Linked DNA regions of Oreochromis niloticus. The protein of the gene in region 1 purifies or fractionates together with the protein of each later gene. This does not show direct contact. Links are inferred from orthologs where the notes say so. Each region holds a gene or a part of one and is shown in the gene's direction. Other genes may lie near its edges. The genes, in order: exoc2, exoc6 and exoc3.

Region 1 (7,983 bases):
TGAATTGTCATATTTTGCTCCATAAATATTTCTTGATTTAAACACGGATAGTTTTCAGATAGTTTTACTGAATCGTTTGAATGAACAGCTTCTTACAGCTGTTTAACATTTAACATCTGAAAGAGGTTCTTCATGAAACTAATATATTTGTGCTATATTATGGCTTAGGAATCAATAAAAACAGTCATATATATCATTGAATTCAGAGGGAATGTATAACATAGAAAACATTTTGCTTTAATTTTATTTTAAATATTCAAAATATATTAATCATTTCCTTTTGTTCACACCTAAATTTATTCTAACTGTATTCTAGGGCAGTTGTGTTGCTTTATATGTTTATACAGACAGGCTGATAACCCTGCAGTAACATTTTCCCACTGTTCTTATACCTCACAACAAAGCTTTTCTCGCATTTGTCCACCTTCTCTTCTTTCTGAACGAGATCCTCATGGGGATCTCGTTCGCCAAAGGAGGCCAAGTTCCGAAATGACGTTCTTGGGCGCCCCCTACTGAGTTGCAGCTGCATTTTTTTTCTGTATGAAATATATGAAACGCACAGATAGAGGAAAAATCTTGAGGTCACAATGAAGCAGCCCGCCAAGCCCTGGATCCTCACTGTCGTTGATTTAGCAGCGGAAATGAAGACGTGTTATGAAATCATAGTTATGTGAGCCAACATGCTACACAATAAGTCCAGTTAATATTCACTGAGGCCAATGCAGTTCGTCCTCAGGGTGTTAAGACTTTACAGAAGGATCCATGGGATAGAAAGCCCATGTGTGGCATTAGAAGGCTCATTCAAGTTAAAACCCTCTCTTCCTTTCACACAGGGGAGCACAAGATTTAAGTTTATTCTCAGCGTTTTCTCCTGCGGTATTTTTAATCCATGATGTGTCCTTTAATTGCCTAATTTCTTTAATATCTTGAAGTAGGTCCCATACTGCTCCAAATACTCTCTGGAATTATTGACGTGCTCAGTTCTTTATGTTTTACAACATTTTTAAAAATCTTTCATGCTGTCAGTATTTCACATTTGGGTCAGTTATTAATTTACACTGGTTTGTACTAGAGGAAATATACTTGCAGGTGTCTTTTTTTTCCCCCCCCAAAAAATGTTTAAAAATATCTAAACTGATACAGTAAAACACATGCTGATGATTAAACTGAACAAGGTTGAGTGAGAATATTTAAGTCTTTAAAAAGAAATGCTTTGCAATAAGATATCATTTTACATTTGAATTAATAGCTACAATAAAACCCCGCCGAAGGATAAAAAGATGGCAGCATTAAACTGTATAAATATTCAAATTAAAACATCTGACCTACAACAACAGAAAGCAGAGCTGGAGCACATCACATCAGCCTGCTGAGTGTATGATTTTTTAGAATGTCCTCTTGATTGCAATTGGCATTGGCCCATCCTGCACACAAATAACCCCGAGCTGTAACCAAGTCCACCTGTTCGTAAACACAAACAGTTATGAACGCACTCCAGCCAGTCACATCTCATCAGAAACAGAACACAAAGTGCAGCATGCATCGACGGCTTCAGCTTGCCCCCGTGGATGAAAGCTGTTTCCCCTCAGTGCTGTGATGCTCAAACGAGGAGGGGCTGGTGTACAACAGTCAAAAAAACCCCCCCAAAAAACCCAAAACAAAAGAGGTGGTATTACACAACAAACTATTTGTGAAGTAAATGTTTCTAGTTTGTTTTTACCATCCATGAGGATTTTTCATTTTACTCTTGTAGGCTCCCCCTAGTTCTCAGAGCTGATCTGGACTGTGCCTCCAGAGACACAGTAGCCTGTTGTCTGGCCTGGGGGGAAGGGGGGGGTTGAAGGAGCGTTGTTATGAGAAGGCAAGGAACATGTTATGTTAACCTGGGTGGTAAAAGCCCAAGAATATTTGGGAAAATGCCCCTTTATACCTTCTCACACCCACCGTTTTCGGCCAAATTCTCCTGTAGTCTTTATGTCTTGGTTCCAAATTTCTAAAACTTATGGTATTTAGCCGTAGCTATCCTGCAATTATATTTAATTTGGTCGCTAATGAAAACATCATCAGAAATTTATTTCCAAAGAAACAATTGCCCTGCATGGATAGTGACAAGGTTTTGCTGAGGAAATGTACCCCAAGCCTAACAGTGAACTTTTCTGAACTCATCACAAATGTCTTTAATAACATAATAACATTCATAACATTCATAGGGCCAAAAGTAGAGTGCCCACTAGTGATGACCCTTTAAGCTGATGGAACAGAAATCATTAGCTGTGCAGTCATTGACAGTGTTGAGCAGTGTGTCAGCACTCAGACTGAAAGGCTCTCTGTTCCCCTCAAATCTCATTTTTGTATTGTGTTCATCTGGATGCTTTTCCAAGCTAAGCCTGGCACAGGCCTGGATTTCCGGAGACCAAAATGTGAGCCCAGGGAACTGGGCTCCTTCAGAAAAAGGGGGGAGATAGAGCACCACTCAGAAGCCAAACAAACCCAGAAATCAGAGGTTTATTTAATATCCCCTGTCTTATATTAACAGCGGTGCTACAGGCTAACCCTGACCCATGTGGGGTTCCAAAACTTCACTTAATTTCCTTTGGAATACATATTTTGTGTTTATTTTGAGATCCATAATATGGGCACAGGTTGGACTGATATATGGTCATTAAAAACATATTATTAGTATTTAATGCTATGAAACAGACTAAAAAGTAGCTTTGGGACAGATAGAAGACTTTTTTGTTTGCTCAGTTTTTGTTTTAGTAAGCAAATGGAATTGCATGTACTGTAGATACTATACCATAGTATAGTATCTACAGTATAGCAGCACAGGTTATTATAATGTCAACACTGAGCATATGATCTCTGCAGTAATCTTTGACATTGAGGGATTCACACTTGTTTGATGTCATACAGTTGAAATGCCCTGTGCAGGAAGGAAGTGCTCACCCACTGGTCGTCTGTTCCATCTTCAGGAGCTCTATGGGAGGGCGGGAGGATTTCAGTGCAATATTTACAGTGACCTTTTCCTCTCACTGGCCAGGGGCCCATGGGAAAAAACTGGAGAAGACAAACAATGAACAATAGGGTTCGGGGATGAGCAATGGTGCCAGCGCAGCATGTGCCATTGCGAGATGTAGATTACAGAAGGTTAGGGGGTCAAAGCAAGGATGAGGGCACCAATCGTCTCCCTCAGGAGCACACCTGCTCAGAAAGCCTGCACTATTTAAAAACGCAACATGCAATCGCGTGTTCCTCACTAAATAAATCATTTTGAATCGAGATTATATTTCTTTGAAACTTTGGGATATAGATGAGAAGATCAATAGGACATATATTCCCTGGTTGGGAAACCAGAAAGCCAGACTAGCTGTTTCCCCTCTCTTTCCAATTGTTATGCTAGGCACACACCACCATGTGCTGGCATGACCTTCATCTTTAACAGAGAGACAGGACAGTGGTCTTCTCATTTTATCACTGAGAAGGAAAAGTTTATTCCCCAAGATTGTGAAATGTTCCTTCAACTAAACATTTAGTGCAAAATTGTCAGTATATTAATGTACATATTAATTAATATGTACAAATGCACAACATTTATATTACAAAACATATATAATATATGTTCAATAATATAATAAAATATGTGATATATACTGCCACTTATTTCTGTATTCCCTGGGTGATATGTGTGATATACTGCTGATGTAGTCATTCATTGGCAAAGACTGTACCACTGAGACTGAGATCAAAATCTTCCACCATCATTGCTTTAAGTAGATGTTTATGTAGACAAACAGCCTCTGTGTTACATCAGCATCTGTGCAAACTCCCCAGTCACAGTTTGATCCCTCAATTATCAGATTAGTCAGTCTAATTGGACAATATGCTTTCCCTGGGGATTGGGCCTTGCCTTATCACAGAAATTCTTTCTGCCCTGCACAATTTGGTGAGATAAATGTAATGCCATCAGTGTTCTAGTGTGTGCCTGGGTGGTCTCTGTTGCATTTCTAATGATGCTGCGCCTTTCCCAGAACAAGTGGAAATACCTCAATGATGCACCGTGAAAAGAGAGATGAGGAAAGGAGCAAAGCTCCCAATGGGCTTCAAAATTCTCACACAATGGACAACCAACACTTCAGAAGAGCAGGCTGATTTTATTGCTGCATGGAGACTTAGATCCACCATGGATACATAATTACATTAAAACCTTGGTCAGCAAAGTTTTGTGTGTGTGTGTGTGTGTGTGTGTGTGTGTGTGTGTGTGTGTGTGCGTGTAATATAACTGCCTAATTAAGTTTCCACAGGTAATTAGGGTATCTGCTGAGAGACTAAAGTGGCTTTAGTGATCACGCTGTTTTCTTACATTGATCTTTTATTGTTTCGTGCATCGTTTTTTTAATTTATATAGCACATTTAATTACATCACCAACGTTGACCAAAGTGCTGTACAGAAATGCAAAATAACTAGTGCCAAAGAATTTAATTTATTTATTATTTATTTAATTTTAACATTTAAAAGGCCTGAAATGTATAAAACAAATAATTAAAGTTACTATGCTACAGAGTTTGTTTGAAGTTATGGAGATCGCCGAGTTAAACACATTTACCGTCAGAAATTGTAAATATGCATTTACAAAGTGATAAATACTAAAAAAAACAGGCACATTTACTAAGAACCCGAAAGTTTTAGGCACATATTTGATTACTTAAAATATCGATCACAAGCAAATTAACTGCATTACATACTTTATTTCGTTTTAGTTCATTTCGTTTTATTTTGAAGGCTGCATGAAAAACGGAAGACCGGAAATAGTTAAATGATACAGGAAACACCGCAGAAGGCAAGCGACTGTAAATTGTAAGTTAAATATTTCCCTTTATATCTTCTACTTTTTCTACCCCAAATAGCTCGCTATAATTATGCCATGTCATTTAGAAATCTAAGCCCTTTTTATGGTCATGACGAACGAGAATGACACCCTCTAACTCCAACATCATTCTAGCATAACAAATCCGGTTAATGGCAAACGCTAGCACAAGCTAACTGCAGCTGTCAAATTTCTCAGTAAAGCTTGTATTCTTTTTTCTAGTAAAACGAAAGAGCTATTTACTTATTGTAGCAGTTGGCTTTAACCTGTCTGACGAAAAAAAATAACTGGGAAATGGTCTATTTGTGTCATTCTGCAGTGTTAGAGATATTACGATTAGCTGTGCCAAACTCCGTTAAAATTTCTGTCTTATTAAAGTAAATTTGGTGTTGCGTTGTTTATGTAGTGATACACTTAGTGACGAAACTTCTTACTAGTAATCATTGACTTCTGGTAAATTCGGGAAGGTTATACTACGTTAATAGCTATAAAAATTCATCTTCTTGTCTTGCTTAGCTGTGACCCCTCCTTTGTTTTGTTTACTTTTCGATTAGTGCTGAATAACAGCTGGGTTGTTCATAAAGCAGATGCATTATTAAAATGAAAACCTATGTGATGCTCAAAGCATTAAATTGGCACTTCACTTGCCAGATGTTGTAATCCACAACGCTATATTCAACGGGTGCGGTTGTCTGCAAATATAGAAGATACATCAAGATTTCATATAGAAACCACCTTCTTTCTTACGTCGACCCCACCTTGCAACTAATCTCTTGGGTTTTTGTTTTATAAATAAATACATAAAATCTGCAATAGTGACTTCACATGCATTTGAAGTAGTAAGAAGTGATTGCTAGTGTGATGAAATTACACTTAAAACACCTTAGTGGCACTTGGAGAACGAAAAAGAAAAAACTTAGAGAGTGAAAACAAGAAAAAGAAGAAAAAAGAAACAAAGTGATTACACTCATTTACCTCATGTGACAGAGAAAGGCACTGACTGGAAAACAAACTGATAAGACTAAACATTAGTATATTTCAAATTAGGTAACTTGACTTGTTTTGGGGAATTAATTTGGTATGATTGTTACGTTCTCTCAGAATGCTCATTCAGTTCATGTGAGAATCATATTCCCTCATTACCCCTGCATGAATGGCACGCTTATCTTGGATGATTATGAGGTATAATTACATGGTAATGTGGCGCATCAAAGATAATCACTTCTTGTGGTTGAAGCTACAGTTAGTTCTGATTTAGGTCAGTGCACCTGTGATGTTTTTATGCATATTTTCTATCTAGTTAATGATTATTTACATTATTGATTTGTGTACCCATTACAGTTTTTATATTTGAGAGGGTGAAATCAGTGAATTTTTATTTGTTTCCTGAAATAGACCACAAACACACTAATTCTCGCTGAGTGAATTGTAAGATGAACTGATTTAAGTGGTTATATTATGAAAGCACATCTTGAATTTCAACAGCTAAGCAATTGCAACAATTTGACCCTTAACGGGAAAGCACATTGTTTTACTACAAGGCTGTAGTGCTGAAAATTCTCAACACTCGGGTCTGAATCAGTGCAGGATGTAACTGACCTACGATATGTTTAGCGTTTATTCCTAATGCTGCTCGTCTGTCACACTTCAGTTGCACTACAAAGTTACAAAGTGAAAAATCACGTTGTTCAGAATCACTTTTGTCATTCACCTCAAGATTCTTTAGCATAATGCTGCCTCAATGATGAGCACTGCTTCTTTTTGTTTTCTAAATATTCTAACCAGTCTATGTTAGTCAGAGATCAAGAAAGTGCATTTCAACATTTCAAGCTGTGGCTGCACATACAATCACTCCTAGTATATGTAAACAGTGAGATACAACTTAATATACATAAAGACCTCCCAGATATTATGTAAACGCTTCTCACTTCAGTCTCATTAAGTTTAGTGTTTTCAGACAGAACACAGTTTAAGCCTCTGTAATCCTTTTTCTTGTGTGCTTTTGTCTAATGTTGTTAGACGTACTTTCTTTAAATAGCTCTATCCCATGGAAGTGGTTCCTTACCATGTGTGTTAGTTTAACTGATTGATTGTATGACAGAGTGAATGAGAGCAATTTGATTGACAAGTCAACAGCAGGCTGGTGCCGTGTCATAGAAATAAGATGTCGATCATTCGAGTTGAGGTCCATGGTAGCAATTCTACAGTTAGAGCCTACAGAGCTCTGTGTATCACTTCTCTTTCTTTAGTCCAGAGTCAGCATTGGTGACAGGGGAAGGTGGGGGGTGGCTACACTGATCCATTTCCTGTCCCCTCCTGGGGCTCTAATTGAAAAATTTGGGTGGCCCTGTTGTTTGTTTTGGTGGAATGTGGTGGGCTGCGTTTTTTTTTTTTCTTTTTCTTTTTCTCTTTAGAATTTCCTGAGTGACGCAGCTCCGTAGACCTCGGGGTGAATCAAGTGATGGGGGCTGGGCAAGACTTTGTTTGTAGCAGCACTTTTCGCTTACCCCTTTCTGCTTTCTGCCCCACCTGGCATTACCCAGCCTACACACAGAGCTTGCTGGGCCACTGGTCTTCACTCCGGGGTTTCTGTGACCTTGTCAGATCTAGATAGGCAAAGGGGCTGTGGCCCCGTGAAAACAAACATGTCATAAGTTATGTCAACTCTTTTTTTAAATTAATTTGTTTTTTACATATTTTAATACAAAATGAATAGGTCAATGATTATTTGTTAGCTTGGTAATCATTTTTGTTGCCTGCCACTTTTTTTTTTTGGACTTTCATATATATTAGCTCTATGCTGATTGTTTGGGATTTTAATTTATTTTAGACCAAAACGATATAAACTCTTCTTAAACATCATATAAGACTCAACAGAGGTGAGTAACATTATTCTCTAGAAGGCAGATAAAATCCCAAAGGCTCTTTTATTGGAGAAGTGAACTGAAACCTGTTTACAGGTTACAATTATATCACAAAAAACCCAAACACTCAACAATGTATGAACATTTAAATGGCCTAAAATCATGCCAGTTGTCTGACATGTACACCAACACAGATCACAGATGGAATCACGTCATTCAGACTCGCTGCCGTCATTCACCTCAAGATTGCTTAC
Region 2 (8,504 bases), on another chromosome or scaffold:
GAAACCAACAAGTACATCTTTACTGTCAAAGGAAAAACAATGTTTTAAGTCAAGAAAGTCTTTGGCTGCCAGTATTTGGAAGTATATATACTGTTGTCTTATATAATGGGATCTTTTGCACACAGATTAGCGATGTGCACTGATGTCTCTCCCTGCTGTGTTCAAAATGTGTTAATGCCAGAAACTCAAATTAAACACGCCTCATAAAGTAATACAGTATCAGTGCTATTGTGTCACAGAGAGAGTGTGTGTGCGTGTGTGTGAGAGAGAGAGAGTTTAAGCTGCATTTGTCTGTCATCTTAAATGTTTATGTATGCTTTCTTCATTTCCATTGTGTAATATCAAGCCATTTTTTGCAACTGCTGGTGTGTGTGTGTGTGTGTGTGTGTGTGTGTGTGTGTGTGAGAGAGAGAGAGAGAGAGAGAGAGTGACCCAGTACTTGTTTTTGGTTGGGTAATAAGGAAACTCATAGTTGTAGCTTTTGTAAAGATGTCATTGGCCCTAATGGGCCAATCAATTCCAAGAAGAATAGCAGGAAATAGAAAGTTCTTGTGTAAGCTGACCGAGGCCTGTTGCCTTGCCCACAATATTAAGAAGAGATGGTAACCTTTTGTGCCACCATGTGTTTATCCACACACCATAATCATTTGAGCTGAGTTTTATTATTGCAATCAAATAGTACATTTAAACATTACAATATTCTCTCTCTCTCTCACACACACACACACACACACACACACACACACACACACACACACACACACACTTCCTTGTATTTGTATAGAATGCAGTAGTCATTTACATTTACACTGTGTAGTTTTAGGTAACATTAGTATTTGAGAACGTTCATTTTGCCCAACTACATTATCACTGTGATGAAGTGTTGAGTACTGTTTCCACAGTGTGTAATGCCAAATACATGCTTTTTTAAGCCTCCATAGTCAAGTGCAATCACCCACAGAAGCAAGCTTAAAATTATAACCATACTATTTGAGGAGTGAACAAATGCAAACATTCAAAATATATTTTTATGGGGAAACTATGATTCATGTATGCACAGGGAGGAATGACTAGCTTAACATCTAACACAGGCTCTTTATCTTTAACCTAACAGGTGTCACACCTGTAACCTGCATGTGTTTGTTTTTCATTTCTTATTGGTCACATGGTTTCCAGAGCGCCACTGCTTGTGGAGAGAGGTGGTGTGGTGTATGTGTGCCACACTTAACTGCCATCACATTAATTAAACGGTGTGCGAGTCTGACAAGTTTTTGGACTTTACGTTATATGTGGTAAACAGACAAACTGTCAGACTGTGGTTCAGTAAATACTCACGTCAAGTTTAGTTAAAAAAAAGAAAAAAGCATGCACAGTGTTAGGAGTCATGCTGCTCTCCTGCAAGTGCAGTGCAAAGAAGGGACAATCGGCCAAAACAGTGATGTTTGTTTGTTTGTTTGTTTGTTTTAGGTTGTTTTTAATGTGCAAGACCTTTGCTTATATTGTTAAATAGGCTGTAGTCAACAGAATTTAATTCAATTCAATTTCATTCAAGGGGCTTTATAATGTAAGATAAAGACCCTGTAACAATACAGAGAGAAAAGAGAAAACCTTAACAGTTTGATGGCCCCCTATGATCAGGCACTTTGGCGACAGTGGGAAGGAAAAACTTGCTTTTAACAGGAAGAAACGTCTGGCAGAACCAGGCTCAGGTGAGGCTGCAAACCACTCCAGTGAGTACTGAAGGTCACATTCTGATGAAGCCAAACGAGCCATGTCATCCGCAACAAGCAAGGTTGCTATTCTGAGACTCTCAGAGCAGACGCCCTCGTCACCCTGGAAGCTCCTTGAGATGCCGTCCATGAAAAATCAAAAACAGGACTTTGCACTTCAGTTTTACAGGGACCTGATGTCCCATAGCAGTGTGCTGGACCCCAAAACACCCACAGGTACCCCCAGGAAAATCTTCTCCAAATCCACAAAACACGCATAGATTGGATGGTCAAACTCCTGTTATCCCTCCAGATGTCCCACAAGGGTTCGACAGCCAGGACAGAACCTGCTTTGCTGCTTCTGGGTCCAAGTTTCAACAACTGACCTCCTTTCCTGGAACAAATGTAATACCCTGACCACTGGAGCTCACTCTCCGGTCCCCCTTTTTGAAAATGGGAATCACCATCCTGGTTTGCCAGTCCACAGGCACTGTGCCAGACCTCCACGTATCATTAAAGACGTATGTCAACCAAGGCAGTGTCCAGAGCCTTTAGCATCTCAGGGTGACTTTCATCTAAACCTGTCGTGTGGCCAACAGGGAGCTCTCTTTACCCAAGTGTCCACAGCCTCAGATCAAATGTTACAGTCTGTCAACCCGTGTGTAGGACAGAGGTCTGAAAGCATCCCCTCAGCACCTAACACCATTGGATACTCCAGAAAAGGACAAATCCAGAGTCCCATCTGCCAGACTTTTGTTCCAAAACCCTTGGTACCTGTGGAGGTGAGACAAACTATATCTAGTCAGTAGTGCTCCAGCTCACATCCCAAATGCCATTCTGCGATATTGGGCGTCCACATGCCCAGCCTCCCACCTTATCCTACCAGCCACGTCACACTGCACCTGATCATAATTGACATCCAGGGTAACTACAGAACACTAGTGGATTTTTTTGTGAAGTGGCCTGACAGAAATCATCTGAATGTGAATAAAACCAGAGGAACTGTGAGGGAAGAGGACACATACACTGTGTCTGTGTTGAGACATAATATTAATGTGGTGGAGGAGTAAAAGTACCTGGACATCCACATTGACTGAGTCAGAAAGTAACAAAGTACAAATACTTCTCAGGTATTTTCAGGTATCTGTACTTTACTGGAAATACTTACTTACTAGTTATTTTTTTTGACAGCCTTTCACTATTACTCCCTGCATTTTAACACAAATATTAGTACTTTCTACTCCTTAAATTTTCAAAACAGGCTAGTTACTTTAGGCTCAGCGGTATCGTCTAGTGTTTATACTCAGTGGTTAAAGTGGGCTGGAACAAGTGCAGGTATGTTGTAGCCAGCTTCTAGCTAGCGCTACGGAAGAGGAATGAGTCCAGGCTGTAATGTCTCTGTACGGCATAACATTTGTTATGTTTGACATTTGTACAATGTTTCTATCAGCTCAACAAACATCAGCAAACACACAAACTGTTCATGTGCAGTTTGTCACAAAGTGTGTTGCTAAAGGTCCAGATGTTGGATTTCCAGGGAGAGAAATGAGAGCAAATTTCATTCATATATGGAGAAAATGTAAGAAAAGACATGAGAGGAGCGGAATAAGAGAGGTTATATTCAAAGGTAATGACTGCTCGTGACACTTGATAAACTGCAGATTTAAAGATGAGATGTCATCATTTTTAATCTTAAGTAATCTTCAGTAAAGAAGTTGAATCAAGTCTGTGTATTTCTCCTTAGGTACTTTTGCCACCTCTGCACTCTGAAGCCAGGCTGAACTGGAAGTCTATCTTTCCCAAAGAAACTGAAATCCTTTAACATGCACAGCAGATATTGGAGAAGTTTTTCTATCAGTTAGTTGTGGAGAGTCTGCTGGTGGAGCTGCTGACAACAACAGACTGAACAAACTGACAGAAAAGGGAGCTCTGTGGTTTACAGGTCACTGAACAAGTGGTTATCCCTCATGGATATTATTACTAATTATATTATTAATACAACAGTTATTATTAGGCAAAATGACTTTGTCACATCAGGCCAGGGAGGTTTGGAGAGATTTTTTTTCCTTAACAACTAAAATCATCATCAAACTGCATTTTGTAGTTTTGTATTTCCTCAAGCTTTATAATATTACATTTTGATCAGTATACAAGTGTGACAACTAACTAAGAAATCAGGCCCTGTATCTGCAACATCAACTGTAGCTTGATGACTGTCTTTTTAATTTTCAGAGGTGAATAAAAGCCACAGTTACTAACACAGAACAGCTGAAATTAGCTTTGTTGGCTTCAAAGTTCAGTGAATCACAAGGTCTCTTTTTCCTGTTGCACCCTTTTTTTCTGCTGACCACAGCAGGTGTCCTGCACGACTCCACACACACACACACACACACACACACACAAAATATCCTCTCTTACACGTACAGATTTTTAGTCTTCATACTTAAGACATACTTCACTAAGAGAGAATGGCTAGTGACAGGATCTATGCTGCTTTACCTGACCCGCCTGGTCAAAGCGAAGGAGAAGGCAAAGAAGAAGAAAAGAAGGCTTTTGGGAATATTTTTGCAGAGTTGGAATCTGTGGACTTACCTCTTGGAACCACCTTAAGGTAAACTCCAAGACACACCCAAGATTCATCTGCTGAACACAACTGAAGGTGGACTGATTTAGCTGAATTACAACATTTAAAACGCTGGTTTATCTCAATACCAAGAGCAGGAAAAAAAAACGCACTTAGAAGCTAGCGGACACATGCAAACTGCGTTTGATTTGATTAAACTGTGAGTTCAATTACAGAAGCATTTAATGTGAAAAAGGGTTAGTATTATTAACGTCAGTGTGCGTCAGTGTGAATTATTTGTCAGGCTTTAACCAGAATTGTATCTTGATGTAACAAAACAAAAACAAACAAACAAATAAAAAACTTGCACACCATAAAGATTTAAATAACCTCCTCTGTATGTTGTTATTTAAAATGTATCTACAGCAGAACTGAGATTAATCAAATAAAAGCCACTAAAGCTCATTTGATAGCAGGCATCTTTATTATTGCAAGTACCGTTTGAATGACAGTACAAATTATTTTCCTGTTTTTTTACTGCTAACCATGCAAACCACTCGCTATACAGTATTTATGATAAGATCATAAACAGTCAAAACCCGTGTGGTTTTCCATGTGGTTGAGGAACCAGGCACAGGCTATGCGGAAACAAAGCCGCAATCGCCGAGGTCAAGACGACCGTAGTGCGCCTCCCACAGGCCGGACCTCACACTGACCTATGCTCCGCTGTAGCTGCAGTGATAGCCGTAATATGCACATAACAATCATGGCGGACAGTGAAACCCTGGAGTGCATAACGGAGCACGAGCGGATTTTACAGGAAATTGAAAGCACCGACACAGCTTGTGTCGGTCCTACTCTTCGGTAAGGATATATAGCTTCTAAAAATGCCCTTAGCGATATAGGTCCTCTGTTTTTCACTGTGTATTACATGATCACACCTTTTGTTTAAGACCTAGCTTAGCCTTACCCAGTAGCAGGCTAGCGCTGGCTATTTTAGCCAACAGTCTAGATAGTGTTGAAATGAGGAATGAGGCTAGCTGTCGTGTTAGCAGCGGTGACTGTGTGGTCATTTTTTAGGTTATGTGTAAGGATGGATGACTAGTGACCTGTCAAAAATGTCAACATCATTTGTGGGTGTGGCTGTGGGACTTCACATCCTTACGTCGTTGTGCAGCTTGAGTTAGCTAACGGCTAACAGGTAACGATTTTGGGTAGTTGTTAGCTAAAATAAAACGAATGCTACGAGCGGATAAGAATACTGATCCTGTGGTGTTGTGTTATTCTGGCGACAGAATTGGTAGTGACAGAGGATGCCGGTGTTCTGGAACACCGGTTTGCTCAGCCTGACGTTCCTTAACACACCGCACTGGTTATTTCAGGCAATTAGATGCCTGAAGTAGCTTCCGAGGCCACAGTGAATGACATTAGTTGAATGCTTCCACCTGTCACACCTGTCCTGTAGACGTGCCTGTAGGCCATGGTTGTTTCTCATACCCTCCAGGTAACAATGCTATCTAGCTTTCTCAGCGTGTGTCTTCATCTCTTATTCTACGGTGACGCTGTCTTTTCTTCATCACTAGGCAGCTTGGTCGGGTGTTGTAAAATGACAGTGACGTGCTGTCAGTGATCATAGGGGTTTGCTTTGCTTACTGTAGAGCTTACTAATAATAAGAAAACTAATTGAAAGGGTCAGGCTAAAAACTGAATTTTTCTTATAGCTAATATTAGTAAATATTTCCTGGATAGTAACGTGCTCTTCTTTTCCAAATGCAGCTCTAGTGCAGTGCACAGGCCTTTCCTGGGTGTGGACTATTATATGGCTCAGGGGACAGAGTTATAAACACTGGGTGTTGTGTGGTGGACTGACTTATCTTTTCATGATGGTAACAGCGAGTCAGTTACTCCAGTATTAACATTACCACTTGGCACTCATGTTCAGTCTTATAAATCACCATTAGACCTGTGCCAGCCTGAAAGCATTGTCCTTGTAGCTTCATTCTTTACAACAGTAATTAAGGATAAACCAGAGGACTTAGGCAAAGACATGTCCTCACTATGTCTTTTTTTGTAGACTGCAATCTGACCTTGCTGAGGAATGCAGGTTATGTTGGCATATTTGTTTCAATGAAAGATTTGTACCTGTTTCCTTCAGCATCCTCACAAGGTCTTCTTCTTTTGTTCTAGCATAGATTCACTTGTTTTGGAGTGCATTTGCTCCTAGGAGGCAGGGCACGTCGCTTTTCAGAGCACTATGGGTCTAGTGTTGGACGTCATGTCCATAATTTAATTATTCTGTTATCCTGCTTGAGATTGCCAATAACCAAGACCATTTTTGTGAAGCAGGGGGGCAAACACGCTAACCATTAAGGCAGCACTGGTCACCCTCCATAATACATACTGTGCAAGTGAAATACAAAGAATACAAAATAGATACTGGGGAAGTAATGTCCCACTTTCAGAAACACAGGAGAGAAGATGAACTGTACAAATCTGCCAGTGTAAACAAGCCACAATGAAAAATTTTGCTGAATTCAACCAAAAACACAGATAAATCTTAATAATTTTACTAACATGTTTAGTCTAGTTTGTGTAAAATGGCTTGACTCCTGCATTCTTAGTAATGTCCTCATTAACACAGCGTTCTTTAATCCACCAAAACAATAGATGTAATAGAAAGTTGAGTGGGGATAGCGACAGACTGCCGACCTGTCCAGGGTGTACCCTACCTCTTGCCCTAAGACAACTGGGAAAGGCTCCAGCGCCCCCCCGCGACCCTGAAAAGGAGAAGCGGAAGGGAATGGATGGATGAAAAAGTTGAGGGAATAAACTGTCATCTCTGCAAATCATACTTTCATTAAACCCGAAACTAAAATCAAGCCAACGGCCAAAAATGCCTGCTGTCTATTTTTCCCCTTATGAGTTCAGTATTGATCAGTGTAGCTGCTCCCTCACATACATGTTGACTTCAAAAGCATGAACTTATGTGTGAATGCACCAAAAACAAATGTTAGATCCAGAAATGCCTGTGGTTGGATCAGTGGTTGCAGGGCTCGCAAAATCGCTAGCCCGACGTCCCGGGGCTAGCGATATTTCCAGTCGGGCTACCAAAATCTATCTCAGCCCTGCCCGTCGGGCTATCATAGGAAGGGAAAATATATGTCAATGCCTTTGCTTTCTTTCGCAAATGTAGCTGAGTAATTATGTCATTGGCATCGATGAGCCTCTGTCAATATCTGCCGTATTGAAATCGCATTTGAATTTGCGCTTGTTTTTTACCTTCAGTTTCACTTTGCGATCGCGCAAACTGTGTATAGAGAGTGGCAGTATTGATTGGTGAGTGACGATTAATTGCGCACCAATTCCTCGGCAATCCTGTTATCATTTGTAGCAGCGACAGGTAATAAACCAGTCCTCATCAAAGAACAGTGCTCTTTAATGAATGCAGCACATAACTTTACATCGTAGAGGTAACGGAGACGCATCGAGTTATCAGTTAGAATATAGTTAAGACGGCTAACTCTACAGTTTCCCGACTGCACTTTCCTCTTATTTGATGACAACACCCTCTAGTGGTGCAATATGGTATAGTCAGACAGGACACAACATCACTTACTAGCTTACTCTTCAAACGTGGCAAGTGAAATCTCCCGCAGCAAGCTTAAACGTGCTAGAGGTTGATTGCGCAGAGAATTTAAAAAAAAAAAATCACTGGCATGTGTAAAGACAGATGGATTTACGCAGGTATTTTAGTTCTGCTGAGCCAAAAAAGACAGGTCAGGATGAAGAAGGGACAGGCAAAGAAAGGCCGACCACAAAGCGGAAAAGTTACGACAAATCAGACTACGAGGCAAAAAGAAAGCGCAGTTTTTTGGTTTCATGGACAAAAGAATTTCTGTGGCTGGAATATGACGAGCTAAATAACATGATGTCCTGCCGGGTGTGTCGTGAGTTTCCCTCGATTTCTGAGTCGACAAGCACCTTTGTTACTGGGACCAGTAATTTTAGGAAAGACCCCATCAGAACTCATGAGAAATCTCTGCATCACAAGAAATGCATTGGTGCTCAGTCTGCAGCATCTGTCCCAGAACAAACACCAATTGCAAAAACCATACTAAAAATAAACCAAGCACAACAAGAAGTCCTGAAAAAGCTGTTTAGAGCAGCGTACTATGTTGCAAAGAGTGAACTACCACTGGCAAAATTTAGCAGTCTTTGCAAACTTCAGAAAG
Region 3 (8,365 bases), on another chromosome or scaffold:
TGTAGTAAATGTTTGTTAACAGACTAACAATACAGTGCTCAGCTGAAAAAACCTGGATTTCAACATCCAGGACAGGACAAAGGAGTGGCTGAGGCTTAAATACACAGAGAATGGTTATTGGGGCAGAGTGGAGACACAGACGAAATTTATAAGGGACAACGACACAGGGGATGTTAATCTAAACACCGAGCCCCAGAGACAAAGGACTAACAAAATAAAACAGGAAATAACTGAACACAGGAACAACTAACACAGAAACTAATTCCAGAGGAGCTGTCACTACAACCCCCCCAGCGGCCACCTTTGGCAAGACTGTAATAAGGTTGCATAAAACTGGTGCATCACAGGGCCAACAAGGAACGGGCAACAGTTCACACTCTTATATGATCTAATACTTCTTTGTCTTTCCTGAACAAGTTTGCTCTTAAAGTTAACTCCATCCTGGGAGAGTGAATCTTAAGCTGCTTCTGCTCAGCTCTGCAGAGAATTATTATTTCGTTTTCATATGTCCCTATTTTCAGTGATATCAACCATAATAGCAGGAAATTGACAAAGCATGTAATTATTTTCTTTCTCTTCTTCTCACCATATTTCTCAAGTGAATTTCCTGGAGGAACCCACCCAAGGGATAAATAAAGTTTCATCTAATCTAAGTAACCTATATTTGACAACAGGATGTAATATTCACAAGTCAGAGCTGAAAATAAAACCACAAAAGATGAGACACAAAACTTTATTTCACAACTAACACTTTAAAAGGAGGATTTTAGACAAAGACTGAGGGAGGGCTGTCACGGTACTGGGTCGTGTGACCCAGTGTTTGAGTTTTATTGTATTTTGTTTTCTATTCGTGTTCTGCTTTGAGTTTAGTTTACCTTATTAAGTGCTACGATGCCTAGATTGCTGTGTTAGTCCTTTGCTTTGCAGATCCTTTTGTCTTCTCCCCTGTTCTAAGTCTCCCTGCTTCATTAATTTGTGACTGCCAAATTAATGTGTTAGAGCGATTTGCAAAAACTCCTGGTTGTGTTATGTGGGTTCAAGTATCAAGAGTTGGCCCTGAAAATCATGCTTTATGTCTCTGTGGTGCTGGTTAAATTTATGTCATGTCTGCATCTTGTAATGTTTCCTGTTTATTTGGAAGTCTTGTTTCCATGTTCTATGTACTTAGCTTTCACTTCCACTGAGGCGTCATTATGTTCATTCCAGTCAGCTGTTGTCCTCATGTGTCTCCACTTCCCCCGATCACCTCGTGTGTGTATTTAAGCCCTCAGTCTTCCTGTGTTCAGTGTGGTGTCGTCTGTGTTCCCTTCCCCATGTCTAGGTTTAGACTTCATAGTGTCCCTTCATGTTTTAGAGTATTTTCAGCGTTCATAGCTTTCACAGTCTCTCCAGTCTCGTAATAGTTTAGTCATAGTTTTCTTAGTCTGCGCTCTACCAGTTTGCTTACTTAATTTTTGTATGCTCTCTTATCAGCCCCAAATAAAGGCTGGTTTTTCGTTAAAGTAATTCCGTCTCCTCGTCAGTGTCCACACCTGAGTCCTCCACTCATTCTCCATTCGGTCTGCCTCCCGCAGACCGTGACAGTGGCGAGCTGTGTTCCCAGGGAGGACAAATCTGTCCACACCAGTATAAAGTAGGGTGACCATATTTTGATTTCCAAAAAAGAGGACACTTGGCCCAGTCATGAAGAACTTTAATAATACTGTTTGCTTAAAGAAAATTTTAACATATTTAAACGATGCCTTCTCTGTGCGGTTAATGAATGGTGAAACAAAAATGTCACATAGGCTTTTACAAGTCAACAAGGGAAAAAAAATAACTTAAAAACCTCTGAAATTAAATAATGGTACTGAAATAAGGGCTCATCTGTATAAGACAAATTACCAGTACAGGGACGGTATGAGGGAAATTTTGCAATTTGTCTGAAAAGCTGCATTTGTGCTTTGGCATCTTTTAAACATCACCAGGCCCGCTGCTGCGCGCTGTCTGTCCCGTCTGTGAGCACAGTGGCAGAACAACAACTCACAAAGCTGCAGCTCGAGGATGACGTCACACATATGGGTCCTCTGTAGGAAAACCCGGACATTTTCATCAATCTCGAAAATCCCCCCGGACGCCCTGGAGAGAACGTGAAAAGTGGACATGTCAGGGGAAAAGAGGATGGTTGGTCACCACACTTAACAGGGGATCTATACACTGCAAATGACCACATGTAAATTAATGACACGGCACTCCATAAAACTAAGATGGGACCCCTAATTACAACTCCCTGCCTAGTTTGGGATGCACTGCATCTAGTGCTCACCTTCCTCATCTTCTCAAGCTCCTCTTTGAGCCCTTGGTACTTCTCCAGCTTCTCGTGTTCATTCTTCCTGATGTTGCTGTCACTTAGTATCACTACATCGATAACTGTAGCGTCTTCTTCCGCTTGTCCACCACCACTATATCCTGTTGGTTAGGTGACATCACCAGACAGGTGATGTTGGTTAGCCACCATTTTGTCCGTCTACGCCTCTGGTATTCTTGCCAGTTCAGCTAACCAACAGGATATAGTGGTGGTGGTGCCTGTTCATCTTAGTTGCTATGATGCCCGACAAGAGCTTCCATGTGATACTGAGGCAGGTTATTGGATGGGACTGACCCCTCCTGGAGTCCCTGAGGATCAGCACCATCCGGCTGTCGGTTAGTCATGACTCATTTCGGGTGTCTTTCGCCGACTAGCAGATGGTTCATTTGTGCTGCCAGATGCTTATGGAGTGCAACCTTCTTAAGCCGTGAACCATGTCATGGCCTGGTGATGTCCAACTCTTCATACTGGAGGCCTACTCTTGGATGTCTGCCACTGTAATGGTTACTGGACCCTATTCAGGGAGGTTGCTGTGGTCTGATCTAAAATTCACTAGCCACTGAGCATTGCTGTTATGGACTGTGTCCTTCTCCCAAATGCTCTTTCAGTATTGCTCAATCTCCGGCCTTGGTGGTGCTGTTCTGGCTGCCCAGCCGGGGCAAGCCGCTCTCATCTGCCCTTTCTGGTGATATCAGCTCTAGCCTGACTGGTGATGTCAGCAAACTGCTGGACTGTGGTTTTAAAAACGGAGCTTTATGATGAACAGTGGTAATAAAAATCGAGAGAGGCCGACAGTGATACTTACTGTTGCCTTACTGTTTTTAGGGGCTCGTGGAGATTAAATAGAGCAAGATACAAAGCATTAAAACTTGTTAAGAACACAACAGCCTTAATAAACGCAGAGTCGTTCGGGCTCTGAAGTAGGGTTCACCACGTCATCACTTAAAGACCGGATAGCAACCAGGCTCACACCTGCCTCCTTAATAAGCTCTGTTTGTCAATCTCCCAAGATTACTCTTAAAGACTTCTGTTTCAACAGCCGCTGTGTGCGCAGTGTTTGCTCCACAGCCATCATTTAAACCTCAAAACATAGCCATTGTTGTTCTCTTTCCAACAGTGTGTCTTTCAAAGGTCAGAGATGTAAACTTTTTGAACTGTGTGGATCCAAGTAGAGAGATAACCTTCTAACCCATAGAAAAATATTTTATTTTCACTCAGGAGTTTGTCTCAACAGCAGAAAAGACCTCACGTTTTTAAATCACTTCTGTGACCACGTTCTTTGACAGCAGGAACATAAAGAACACACTGTTGTGTAGAACTAGTCGTCGGGATCCTCACGGTTCAAAGGCTGTTTTGATAGGAGTTACGGTCTTGGATTTAGATGCAGTTTTTCAACAGGTGCAGTAAGGCAGATTTGACAGGGTTTTGCCACAGAATAATAGTATGTCAGTAGTTAGTGCAATGTTAGTCAACTCCAGGCCTCGAGGGCCGGTGTCCTACAGGTTTTAGATGTGTCCTTGATCCAACACAGCTGATTCAAATGGCTAAATGACTTCCTCAAGATATCTTGTAGTTCTCCAGAGGCCTGGTAATGAACTAATCATTTGATTCAGCTGTGTTGACCCAGGGTGAGATCTAAAACCTGCAGGACACCGGCCCTCAAGGCCTGGAGTTGCCCACCCCTGGGTTAGTGCATGCCAGCTGGATAGAGCATTCTGATTGGCCCGTTAAATTCAAGCTTATTGTTCATTGGTGGATTTCTCTTCTGCACACAGGTGGTTCAGATCTGGGCTGCTGGAGTCACTTGATGACTTTTAGAATCATCTTTTCTGACTGAATGGTTAAAACTTACAGCATTTACCTGTCTGTAGTGAATTCTCCCACATTTCAGTTATTCAGTGATTCAAAGAATATGAACTTTTAATATTCATTCAGATGTTTTCTGACTCTAAATTTTCTTTTGTCATTTCTCAGCTTTTTAATTTACATCTTAAACATGTTCAGCTACTTCTTTGTGGTTGTCAGCTCTCAACAGTTCTGCACTTTTCTTTTCAGGTGAAAAATTCCGCATTTTTCAGCTCATTCAACATTTTTAACTTAACATTCAGCAGTTATTTCATTTCAGCTCAAAACATTCAGCTATCAGCATTCACACTGCAGTTTCTTCAGAAAATGTGTTTCCTACTTTTTTCATTGATTTGTTGTGGTGTGTTTAGTTGCCTTGTACAGCACGTCAAAGTTGTGCTTTTAAATCGTGCTCTACTTGGATTGAATTACACATAAAAAATGTGCAACCAAAAACTGTTTTTGTTCAGCTTTAATAAAATAAAAAATAAAAAAATACAACACAAACACAAAATGAAGGAGAGATGACAAAAACAGTGGGAGAAAGAAAGGACAGGATGGTGGATTTATAAAATCCAAAGAAAACTGGAGAAATGAAAACTACAGGATGGAGGAGAAAAAAAACAATCATCACATCTCAGATTTCGGCACACTGGGCTAAACGGCACACTATTCATTTTAGGGAAACATTGCAATGAAAAATGTGAGTATTGATGAGACAATAGAGAATGTTATATTACACTGTATGAGGAAGAAGCAAGACAACTGATTGAAAGCCTGAATTGATTTAAACTTAAACTAGATTTAAATGATTTACTTAGAAATAAATGAGGAAGCAAAAGTTACCAGGCCATATTTAATTGTCTTAGACAAACGCATTTGTATGACATTCCGATCCACACTCCAAACCAGTTGGTGGCGGTATTCACCAATTCGTTGTTTGTCAACAGCCAATAAACACCAAGAAGAAGAAGCAGCAGGCGTCTCCTGCGCTGCTGGAAGCAGGAAGTTGAACAACGACAACAAAGGCTGTGTTAGTTGAAATAATAATATATTTAATACTGGTAGATATGGTTGTTGTCTTCCCTCTGGGTTTGCCTTAAGTGAGGTAAGTTTCCGGGTCTGAAGAACTAGCTTGTTTTATTGTCGCTGACACTGGGTCGTTTTCGCCTGTTGTTAGCTTAGCATGCATTTACTACGTTGGATCATCTGTTTTCATTTCAACGTTAGAGTTGATTTATATACTTGATCCAGTCACGACTGTGTTCGAATGTGGTGCTATAGCTGTCAGTGCAAAAACAACACTAGCTTTTATTGTGTTGCATTAACGTTACGCGGGGCATTAGGACCACAGAAGCCATTTAACTGTGTCTGCCAATGAAGTACTGTCAAGAAGACAAAGGCTGTGCCAGAGTCATTTGGAAATGACTTTCTGTCCCTGCGACAGAGCTGCCCAGGGTTTAGTCCGCTTCTTGCTCTGTGACAGCTCCAGCGCCCCTTCGTCCGAATGGGATAACCGGAAGAAAATAATGGACGTGACATTCACGTGCATGTGATGTGTCAGGATTAGACATTACCTTCAATAATTGCACAGCATTATTGGTTTTATAAACAGGACCTTGGAAAGATGTATGTGCCTTCACAAGTGGAATACCATCTTAGAGCCGCAGCATACAGTCCCCAACACCAGTGGCTGACTACCTTCCTTTTATCTCGCAAATCCTTGAAAAAGTAGTTGTTAAACAGCTAACTGATCATCTGCAGAGGAATGGCTTATTTGAAGAGTTTCAGTCAGGTTTCAGAGCTCATCACAGCACAGTATCCTTCTCTAACAGAATTAGAGAAGGATACAAATGATCTTCTTATGGCCTACAGCGTTCAAAATTTTATCACAGTGATAAGAGCATGTTGTAGATCAAATTGAATTAAGTTGAATTGAATTACTGGCACAAGATGGTGCTAAACATGTTCTAAAAAACTTACTTCTTAAATCCAGCTTCACAGACAGTGTGAAAATTTATGCCAGTTTTTAGAGTTGGGCTTTATAGTGTAAATTAGCCTTTATACACGTAGGGTTTCATGTCCACATTAATCAAGGTATCTAAAGCAGTCATGAGTGCTAAAGTTTGTAAAGCAAAGCATTGCATTGAATAAATGGTTAAATGTGTTTTAGAAAAGCACTACATAAAGATCAACCCTTTCGATATTTTTCTCTTTAAGCAGGTCCTTGTGTGGAAACCTTTGGACACACCTGACACCTTATTTCCTGAGCAGGACAATGGAGGAAACAAGCAGGGAGGCAGTTGCCACTGCAGTGCAGCGTGTGGCAGGGATGCTGCAGAGGTCAGACCAGCTGGATAAAGTGGAGCAATACAGAAGACGAGAGGCCCGTAAAAAGGCGTCAGTGGAAGCGCGGCTCAAGGTGATGTGTTTCATCTGTGTGTACTATTATTGTTTTCTTAGCATTGTCTAGTATTTGTATTTAATAACAGCTAAGATAAAGGTATGCTTTTTTTATAGCGACTGTATTAATTATTAATCTACACAGTAAATGGATACACGGTAAACAAGAAAGCAAAGCATTTGTATATAGCACAACGTTATTAAGTCACAGTAATTCAACAATGATACTGAACATGAATCTGTTTCCTGATGGTCCTTGATGTTCTTCAGGCAGCCATTCAGTCCCAGTTGGATGGTGTTCGGACTGGACTGACCCAGCTGCACAGTGCTCTGCTAGATGTCAAAGATATCCAGAGCTCATTGGCTGATGTGAGTAAAGACTGGAGGCAGAGCATTAACACCATTGAAAACCTAAAAGACGTCAAGGATGCTGTAGTTCAGCACAGCCAGTTGGCTGCTGCTGTGGAAAACCTAAAAAATATCTTCTCTGGTAAGTTTAGCTAAACCTAAAAACTTCAATCTAAAAGATGCCAACAACATCCCGTTACTATAGAAACCTTATCTGCTCTTGGTTTTTACAGCCATGGGTGTCTTTTTCCTTTGCTTTGTGTATAGTGCCAGAGATAGTGGGAGAGACACAGCAGCTGATAGAACAGGCAGAGCTGCTGCAGGCCCACAGGAAGCTGATGGAGCTGGAGTGTTCACGTGATGACCTCATGTATGAGCAGTACCGTATGGACAGCAAGAACACCAGTGACATGAATCTCATTTCCATCTACTTTGAAGATGTAAGCGAACATAGCAAAGTTGATGTAGAGAGTTGGACCAGTGGCAGCCGTCCCCCTAAAAATGTTGTTGGAATAAAATCCATCACAAAATACAAAAAAACGTCATAAATAAGTACAGTTTGCTCAGACTACATGTGTGGTTGCGCACACGTGCCTGCTAGAATACATTTTGTGGTCAAACTCCATTACATTGTGCTTAAAGTTCATGCAAATAATATGCATGTATTCACTTCCTTGTACAGGAAATGAATACATGCAAAGCGGAGTTCCAGTTGGCGCTTGGAATTCTCCTCTTGGGTTACAAGTTTGTGCACCCCTGGTCAACTGGCATAGATTACCTGCCTTGTTTAAGAATTTCATTGGACAAGTCAGTGTCAGTCACACATGGTCACAGCACAGGTACTTTTGTCATTTGAAAACTTGGCATTGAAAAGGCATAAAAGAGCTACATCTGAAAAAAGTGAATAAAAATCTCAGATTGTTAGATACTAGCAGATACTAAGTGCTTAAAAAAATACAGTTTATGATTAAAAAAGTTTGACCTGGCTTCATGAAGTGACACCAGTTCCTTAAACCTGCATTCATTCTTTTTGTTTTTAACCAGACCAAAAAACTCCCGTGATTAAGAATATAGCCTGGTTCAACATTAGTAGTTGTACAGAAGCCTCTCAAAAAGCTTTCGCTCTCTCTGTTCTCTTCCAGGTTCAGGGACTGTCAGACGAGCTGGCTAAACAATTATGGATGGTACTGCAGCGGTCCATGGTAACAGTTCGTCGTGACCCCACCATGCTGGTGTCAGTAGTTCGTATCATTGAGCGGGAGGAGAAGATTGATCGGCGTATGGTTGACCGAAAAAAGCAGACTGGGTTCATCCCGCCTGGGCGACCCAAAAAGTGGAAAGAAAAGATGTTTGAGGTCAGAACAGAATAATACTTTGTAACTACTGAGAGAAAAATCAACAGAAACAATTTCAAAGGGTCTG

The links.
Region 2: the proteins of exoc2 (region 1) and exoc6 purify together in Homo sapiens (affinity purification with mass spectrometry; 5 studies listed by BioGRID and IntAct, counting the BioPlex papers as one, with this or other methods). This does not show direct contact. The link is inferred for Oreochromis niloticus from reciprocal best matches to the Homo sapiens genes EXOC2 and EXOC6.
Region 3: the proteins of exoc2 (region 1) and exoc3 purify together in Homo sapiens (affinity purification with mass spectrometry; 6 studies listed by BioGRID and IntAct, counting the BioPlex papers as one, with this or other methods). This does not show direct contact. The link is inferred for Oreochromis niloticus from reciprocal best matches to the Homo sapiens genes EXOC2 and EXOC3.

Annotation. Positions count from the first base shown.
Region 1 is NC_031981.2:27,117,316-27,125,298, reverse strand, and holds the start of exoc2 (exocyst complex component 2), read left to right. Parts: upstream 1-4,774; 5' UTR 4,775-4,855; intron 4,856-7,983. UniProt on the Homo sapiens protein: Component of the exocyst complex involved in the docking of exocytic vesicles with fusion sites on the plasma membrane.
Region 2 is NC_031973.2:28,333,677-28,342,180, reverse strand, and holds the start of exoc6 (exocyst complex component 6), read left to right. Parts: upstream 1-4,948; 5' UTR 4,949-4,990; coding exon 4,991-5,136; intron 5,137-5,147; exon of another isoform or gene 5,148-6,158; intron 6,159-6,939; exon of another isoform or gene 6,940-8,002; coding exon of another isoform or gene 8,003-8,504. Other genes in the region: zinc finger protein 862-like, read left to right, coding at 8,003-8,504. UniProt on the Homo sapiens protein: Component of the exocyst complex involved in the docking of exocytic vesicles with fusion sites on the plasma membrane.
Region 3 is NC_031982.2:271,651-280,015, forward strand, and holds the start of exoc3 (exocyst complex component 3), read left to right. Parts: upstream 1-5,138; 5' UTR 5,139-5,300; intron 5,301-6,412; 5' UTR 6,413-6,470; coding exon 6,471-6,614; intron 6,615-6,865; coding exon 6,866-7,085; intron 7,086-7,210; coding exon 7,211-7,383; intron 7,384-8,085; coding exon 8,086-8,298; intron 8,299-8,365. UniProt on the Homo sapiens protein: Component of the exocyst complex involved in the docking of exocytic vesicles with fusion sites on the plasma membrane.